2 linked regions of the Nothobranchius furzeri genome follow. The protein of the gene in region 1 binds, or shares a complex with, the protein of each later gene. Links are inferred from orthologs where the notes say so. Each region holds a gene or a part of one and is shown in the gene's direction. Other genes may lie near its edges.

What was found.
Region 2: eif3d (region 1) and eif3s6ip share a complex: the UniProt entries of both Homo sapiens proteins name them as parts of the eukaryotic translation initiation factor 3 (eIF-3) complex. The link is inferred for Nothobranchius furzeri from reciprocal best matches to the Homo sapiens genes EIF3D and EIF3L.

What each region holds. Positions count from the first base shown.
Region 1 is NC_091745.1:29,243,116-29,247,693, forward strand, and holds the end of eif3d (eukaryotic translation initiation factor 3 subunit D), read left to right. Parts: intron 1-70; coding exon 71-192; intron 193-272; coding exon 273-405; intron 406-491; coding exon 492-639; intron 640-808; coding exon 809-939; intron 940-1,008; coding exon 1,009-1,094; intron 1,095-1,179; coding exon 1,180-1,309; intron 1,310-2,911; coding exon 2,912-3,054; intron 3,055-3,140; coding exon 3,141-3,333; intron 3,334-3,419; coding exon 3,420-3,513; intron 3,514-3,914; coding exon 3,915-3,928; 3' UTR 3,929-4,031; downstream 4,032-4,578. UniProt on the Homo sapiens protein: mRNA cap-binding component of the eukaryotic translation initiation factor 3 (eIF-3) complex, a complex required for several steps in the initiation of protein synthesis of a specialized repertoire of mRNAs.
Region 2 is NC_091752.1:5,210,698-5,213,982, reverse strand, and holds the end of eif3s6ip (eukaryotic translation initiation factor 3 subunit L), read left to right. Parts: intron 1-970; coding exon 971-1,104; intron 1,105-1,216; coding exon 1,217-1,390; intron 1,391-1,459; coding exon 1,460-1,649; intron 1,650-2,364; coding exon 2,365-2,445; intron 2,446-2,516; coding exon 2,517-2,591; 3' UTR 2,592-2,676; downstream 2,677-3,285. UniProt on the Homo sapiens protein: Component of the eukaryotic translation initiation factor 3 (eIF-3) complex, which is required for several steps in the initiation of protein synthesis.

The sequences.
Region 1 (4,578 bases):
AAGTATTTGGGTCTGTTTGAAGCCGTTGTGATGGTCTTTGGTGAATTTGTGTGTTTGTGCTGCTTCTCAGGCCCAGCTGAAGCCCAGAGACTCCTCTGTGGAGGTGAGGAGTGACTGGGAGGTGAAGGAGGAGATGGACTTCCCCAGACTGATGAAGATGCGATACATGGAGGTTTCTGACCCTGTTGACATGTAGGTGAAGCTTGTCTGGTCTGGTCTGGTTTGTGTTTGGGTTGAATCTGTACATCTGTAAAGTTCTGGTCCTCCTGCAGCGAGTGCTGTGGTGCGTTGGAGTACTACGATAAAGCGTTCGATCGGATCACCACCCGCAACGAGAAGCAGCTGAAGAGCATCAAGAGGATTTTCCACACCGTCACCACCACCGATGATCCGGTCATCCGGAAGGTTGGTGGCTCCTCACCGGTCCAGCTCCTCCAGAGGCTCTGAATGTTTTCTGGGTGGAGTTCTAATCTGGTTCTGCCTTCCTCCAGCTGGCGAAGACTCAGGGCAACGTGTTTGCTACAGACGCTATCTTGGCCACATTGATGTGCTGCACACGCTCCGTCAACTCCTGGGACATCATCGTGCAGAGAGTCGGCAACAAGCTCTTCTTTGACAAGAGGGACAACTCTGACTTTGGTGAGTTTTGGGGAGTTCGCCGAACCTGCCTGAAAACGGAGGAGCTCTGGTTCCATCTGCAGTTGCAGCCAAAGGCATCAAACAAAACGCGATCACGTCTGCGTTTAACCTCCGATTAATGCAAGCAGAACGATTTATTTTAGGTTGTTTTCCTGAATTATTTGAACAGATTTGCTAACTGTGAGTGAAACCGCCAACGAGCCTCCTCAAGATGAGGGAAACTCCTTTAACTCTCCTCGTAACCTGGCGATGGAGGCCACCTACATCAACCACAACTTCAGCCAGCAGTGTTTACGTGTGGTGAGACCATCACACACAGATCCAAACACACACACTCACACACACACTCTAACGTTCAGCTGTGTTCAGGGAGGAGAACGGTACAAGTTCCCAAACCCTAACCCATTTGTGGAGGAAGACATGGACAAGAGCGAGGTGGCGTCTGTGGCCTACAGGTAGGTCCTGGGTTCTGGTGTTGGCTCCATCTGTGGGACGTGATAACCGGATCTTCTGACTGACTGGTGCTTTTTGGGGATTCAGGTACCGTCACTGGAAGCTCGGGGATGACATCGACCTGATCATCCGCTGTGAACATGACGGAGTGATGACTGGAGCGAATGGAGAGGTGTCCTTCATCAACGTCAAGACCCTGAACGAGTGGGACTCCAGGGTAGGAGACACCGTTACTGGTTTCAGAGAAGGGAACAAAAGCATGTCCAGTAAGACAGCAGCAGCTGGCTCTGGGTGCTGCGGCCAACAGGAGGCTGTGGGTGGCAACAGGCGGTTGGTTTCCTTTTGGACCGCTTCAGTTCTTAAAACACATGTTCCATGTTCTTATTTCCTGCAAACGAAATCTTTCTGTAACTTTTCTTGTCTTCAGCCTAAATAAAGGCTAACTTAAACTAGGGCTGCTCGATTATGGCAAAAATAATAATCACGATTATGGTGACTGAAATTGAGATCACGATTATTTAAGACGATTTTTCAATTTATGTTGATTTTATTTGTTTTTATTCAGTCACAAAATTGCTCAGGCCACAATCAGGACAACAATGAATAAGAAACAAGATGATCACTAAAGTAACTCCTGATTCCCAGTATAAAAAGACCAATATACTTATAGCTCATAGTCTATGACCCAAGGGCTGTAGACCTTGGTTTAACTCATGTAAGTCTAACCAGTACAGACCCAAATACCAATATCTTGCAAATACTGACAGCAAGAATTATACAGTGGCATTTATAACAAATAAATGCAAATAAATTGATGTTCACAAAATGTTGCATAATATTTATTTAGTCGTGTCAAAGTGCTGTAGGAGAGTGCACTAGCACCGTGTCCTCAGAGAGATTAGTTATCAGCGTGAGGAACTTATTTCTACCTTATTTATAAACTATTTATTTACAAGTCCATCAGTTAATGTAATAATTGTCTCAACCACAGCTGCACCCCCCACCCCCCACCCCGGTCTCACAGCAATCCGGGGCAAGCTGCACGTGTGTTTAGCACGCGCACATTTAGCCGTTTTTAGTGGCTCAGGAGTCCGCAGGTGCGGTGTGTGTGTCACTCACTCTGGTTAATCCAACAAGGAGCCGGCTCCGAGAGCAGTTTCTTAAGCGACTGACACATCACTACATCATTCCCTTTCCTAATGTCCTGAAGAACGGTCCGGACGCGCAGGCGGAGTGTTTAGCTAACCTGCAGGAAATGTCGACGACAGTTATCCAGAAAGTAGCTAAGGGTTACCAGAGATGTTTCTGAGGTGGTCGCTAGGTACTTTTAAGATTTAAAAAGTCAAGAAGGGGGTCTGAAAAGCTGTTAGAAATAGCGTCAAAGTCACTAAATTGGCAACACTGTGGGAGGAGCGCTTCATTTGTAACTCAGGGCAGCGCAAGCGGGAGGAGCAAATAATCGGCTTGTTTTGTTTTTTATAAACGTTCAAAACTCAGATCGTAATCGTGATTAAAATTCGATTAATTGAGCAGCCCTAACTTAAACTAATCTATCAAGTCTATAAGAGGTCAGAATTCATGTTTACAAACCCTCCGGCTGACTTCTGACAACCACCGCCTTCTTGGTCTTCCTGATCAGTGGGACGGTCCAAAAGTTCACATTTTCCTAAATAATAATTTACAGATTCAGATATCTAATTAACATAAATTATTCTTATTGCTGAAACCAGTCATCTCTATAATGTTGTTGGTTCATGTGCAGCAGCCCGGTTCTGACGGGGAGTTGTTGATCCATTCCTCATCTCTGTTTCATCTTCAGTATTGTAATGGAGTGGATTGGCGCCAGAAGTTGGACTCTCAGCGGGGAGCCGTTCTGGCCACCGAGCTGAAGAACAACAGCTACAAACTGGCCCGCTGGACCTGTTGTGCCATGCTGGCCGGGTCGGAGTATCTGAAACTGGGGTGAGTATGCCGACCCTGTGATGGGAGCTAATGGATGATGGTCATTAAGCAGGCTGGACCTGACTTCCACCACGTGTGCTCCTCAGGTACGTGTCTCGGTACCACGTGAAGGATTCTTCTCGTCACGTCATCCTGGGAACCCAGCAGTTCAAACCCAACGAGTTTGCCAGCCAGATCAACCTCAGCATGGAGAACGCCTGGGGGATCCTCCGCTGCGTCATCGACATCTGCCGCAAGCTGGATGAGGGCAAGTACCTGATCCTGAAGGACCCCAACAAGGTGAGTGGAAACGAGTCCCAGAGGACCAAAGACGGAGGTCCAGCTGACAAGTACTGACTCGTTCTCACTCTGGTTCCACTAAACAGCAAGTGATTCGAGTGTACAGCCTGCCTGAAGGTACCTTCAGCTCTGATGAGGAGGAGGAGGAAGAGGAGGATGAAGAGGATGAGGAGGAGGAAGGTCTGTTATTTTAAACTTGGTTTTTGAAAACCGTTTAGAGTGAAGTGACCTGAGAGATGAAGAGAAAACTAAAATCTTTTCAAAAGAAGGACCTGAATCATGCTGATGTACACTTTCCAGAGCAAAGATGGCCACAATAGAACCGTTGGCACTTTTGAAATGTGATTCTTTATAGAAGAAGTTATTTTCGTGACTTCAGAGGCTTTCAGGTTTCTGGATAAAAATACCATCTATCTACTTTGTTGTCTACCACATGTGCAGCACACGCATACGGAGAATGGAAACTATTTCCCTCTGACCCTTAGTGCAGTACATCAGCTTTAAAACGAGATCTGATGGTGTTTTTGTTTACATTGAAAGCATCTCCATATTCAACCTGATTTATTGATTTCTTGTTTCAGATGAAGAGAACTGAAATGTGGAGCTTCCTTCTGTGACCAAACCAGCCTTCATCTGGAGAAACAGTTGAATTGATTTTGACACTTAATAAAAACAGAATGGTCAAATTCAGTAAAGGATTATTGTGTAATTTTGTTTTTATTTCGGAGGAATACAAATAAGTCAAAAACAACTAGAGTTGTTTTCTGGTTCGTGACCAGCAAGGCTCTCGATTTACCGCCCAGTCCTCACCTTTGGTCATGAGCTTTGGGTAAAGACGGAAAGAACAAGATGGCGGATACAAGCGGTTGAAATGAGTTTTCTCCACGGGATGGCCGGGCTCGGCCTCATGGGCTCGACACACGGGAGGTGACATCGCCTCTCCATTCATGTTCAATCAGACGTGCGTGACAAAGCGATAATCGGGTCTCCCTCCTACTAAGCCAAATGCGAAAAACGTGCGTGTGAAATTTTGTGCTCGTGCACGTGTCGTGCACAGGCGACCCAGCGACGCGATCCCAGAAAGTTGAAATATTTTCAACTTTTCATCGCTGTCGCTCGGACGAGGACCAATCAACGGAGGTTTCATTCACTGACCAATGAGCAGACAGGATGCTCCTACACCTCCGAGCAAACATGGAGGAGAAGTTGATTATTATTATATTTTATAGTAAAATCAAAAGTAAG
Region 2 (3,285 bases), on another chromosome or scaffold:
CGCATAGAAAAATACCGCAAATCAGTGAAAAATACCGCGAATCAGTGAAAAATACCACGAATCAGTGAAAAATACCGCAAATCTGCGAATTCCCCCTGAAAAATGCTCCAAAGAAAAAATCCGCGAAGCAGCGAATCCGCGATGAACGAACCGCGAAGTAGCGAGGGATTACTGTATTATCTTTTAGGTCAATATATAGCACTGAATCACGACAGAAGAATACATCTCAAGGCGCTTGAAAACTACAAGAGAAAATTCATTTTAATTCAATCATACATACATTCCTATCAATTTCACATTTTTGTGTTTAAGAGTTCCCTTCTCTTCAGACAAAATATAAATATTCCTTCCATTTATTTTGTGCCATCTTTCCTTGATGTTTTAAAGGCTGCTGTTTTGTATTCTATGGTTTTTTTAATGTAAATAAAATATTAAAAAATAAATTCAATAATTTTTTTTAATAAAATCACACGGGTTTTATTTGATTTACTCTACCAGACCGGTGACGTCATCACGCAAACCAGATAACGTCATATGCAAATTAGCATGTGGCGTCATCTGGCGACATCTAGCGACGTGTGGGGGGAACTTCAGCTTCTTTCAGTCAAAAACAGTTGGCAACACTGCTCATAAACCCAGATTAAACCGAAGTGACCCTCCAGGTTGGAGCCTCTGCCTTAGGAAGAAGTAAAATTCTTATCCAGACGTCCTTCTTGTAAATTTGACACTTTTTCCCTCTGAAAATACAAAACTTTCCAAAATTAGAGAATATTACAGTATTCCCAAAAAAATGACCTTAATCTATCATTTTGCCTCTCTCTCCAGCTATGTGTTCATTTCTTTTCACTCGCCCCATTCACTTACCTCTAAGGGGCTGAGTTGGTATCAGAAGATGCTGAAACTTTTGGTCATTGAGTTCTTTTTAAATGTAAAAAATACACCAACAGAAGGTATTTTCCCACATTTTTAGATCAACAAACAAAACGAGCAGATGCATGGCCTCCTGGCCATCGCTCTCACCATGTACCCCATGCGTATCGATGAGAGCATCCACACCCAGGTGAGGGAGAAGTACGGAGACAAGATGCTTCGTATGCAGAAAGGGTGAGGAAACTATCACGTTCGTTCGTTTATTTACAGTAAAACTGCTTTTCTAAGATGCTAGATCAACATTATCGCAGCAGAATCAACCATTTGTCCCCTTCTCTGTCTCAAGAGACCTGCAAGTGTTTGAAGAGCTCTTCAGCTTCGCCTGTCCCAAGTTCTTGTCACCTGTGGTCCCGAACTACGACAATGTCCACCCCAACTACCACAAAGAGCCGTTCGAGCAGCAGCGGAAGGTCTTCGCTGAGGAGGTGCAGCAGCAGGCCCAACTCTCCACCATCCGAAGGTACAAACCGACTGCGTTCAGAGGAGTGGTCCTTGTGGTCCGGTACCTAACCTCATCTCGTCCTTTCAGCTTTCTGAAGCTCTACACCACCATGCCTGTGGCCAAGCTGGCAGGATTCCTCGACATGACGGAGCAGGAGTTCCGGATCCAGCTGCTCGTCTTCAAACACAAGATGAAGAACTTGGTGTGGACCAGCGGCATCTCGGCGCTGGATGGAGAGTTCCAGTCCGCCTCTGAAGTCGACTTTTACATCGACAAGGTGATGAAGAGCAGTTTTGTTTTCTGTATTCTAGTTTACTGGAGAAATGCAGAAGAGTTGGGAGGATTTGAAGGATTTGGTTTCGTTTGTCTCTGAAAGGTTTCTGTTCGGAGCTTAAATGCATCCAGATTGTACAGACTAGATATCAAACCACATTACGTTTCATCTCTAGGTATAAATATAACCTCTAGTGCACCTTGTGTTGCTTCTGCTGTCAAGAGGCGAAGGCCCTGTTTATGAAGTTATGATGAAAATGTGAAACTTTTGAGTTTTAAGCTAAGAAATAACATCTTAATTAAGACAAAACCATATTTGGTTAAAAACAGGAAATAAAGCTTGCTAGTTCAATGCCGGCTCCGGAGAGAGGTTTCTGCTGTTGTGTCCTTGGGCAAGACACTTAACCCACCTTGCCTGCCGGTGTTGGTCGGAGGGGCCGATGGCTTCCGTGGCTACATTGTAGCTCCTCCCTACCAGCATGTGAATGGGTGATTATGTTATGAAGCGCTTTGGGGGGCTGTGGAAACCCATGAAGGCGCTATAGCCATTAACCAATGAACTACATTAGAAATGTTTTTTCCCCCGTTTGTACATAGAGACACAAACAAGAAACAGATTTTAAATATAAATTTAGATCTGATTCATTTGTAATACATGCAGAAACGTAGAAATCAGCTTTTCTTTATCCACGCTGCGTCTAAAACGCGTCTCCCTACAGGACATGATCCACATCGCTGACACTAAAGTGGCTCGGCGCTACGGAGACTTTTTCATCAGACAGATCCACAAGTTTGAAGAGGTCAGTAGTGGTTTTTATCACACTATCTGCTGGTTTGTTCTGGTTGAATTGAATAAATCTTCTTTCTACAGCTGAACAGGACACTGAAGAAAATGACCATCACTGGTACCACATCCAGCACGTCAGGGAGCGCTACGAGCCGATGAAGCGGACCAGCAGCACCGCTCTCTTCTACTTAGTGATGACAACTTTTCTGTTACTAGGCAACAATAAAACTGTTGAGTAATTTTCTCTGGGAGGTACTTTGCTTTACTATTCGGTGGCAGTGTTAACCAACTGTTGGCTCAGTGACAGAGGTCAAAGGTCATTGCATATTTCTTTTATTAGATCATCCCACAGCAGTTTCCCCACACACATCTCATGGCTCATAACAGAAAAAGTTACAAAATGAGAATATAAAAAATACTTTTAAACACCACTCAACAGACACCGTTCACCATAGAACAACATATTCACACCGACAATAATCCTTACCTCGACTGGTTTAAAAATAACCTCACTTCCATATTTTGAGCATGAGATTTACCCCCCCCCCCCCCCCCCCATGTGGCAGTGTGAAGTCAGGGGGGCACGTCGCCATCTTGGTTTGTAAAAACAGTTCATCTTTTTTGTGCCGTTTTAAATTTCACCACAAAAAATCCTTCAGTCATTAGAAAAGTCTGATTCCTAATTGACGTAATCCCACGTCACTGGCGTCAGATTAGAGTTTTATTTTCACTTTAAACAGGAGGACGCCTCCCATCGTCGCGTTTTTAATCATCACTCAGAAAATCTGTTACGTCTAAATAAAATTCTGTTTTCCAGACATGAAGATGACCTTCACGTCCACACTAAGCACCT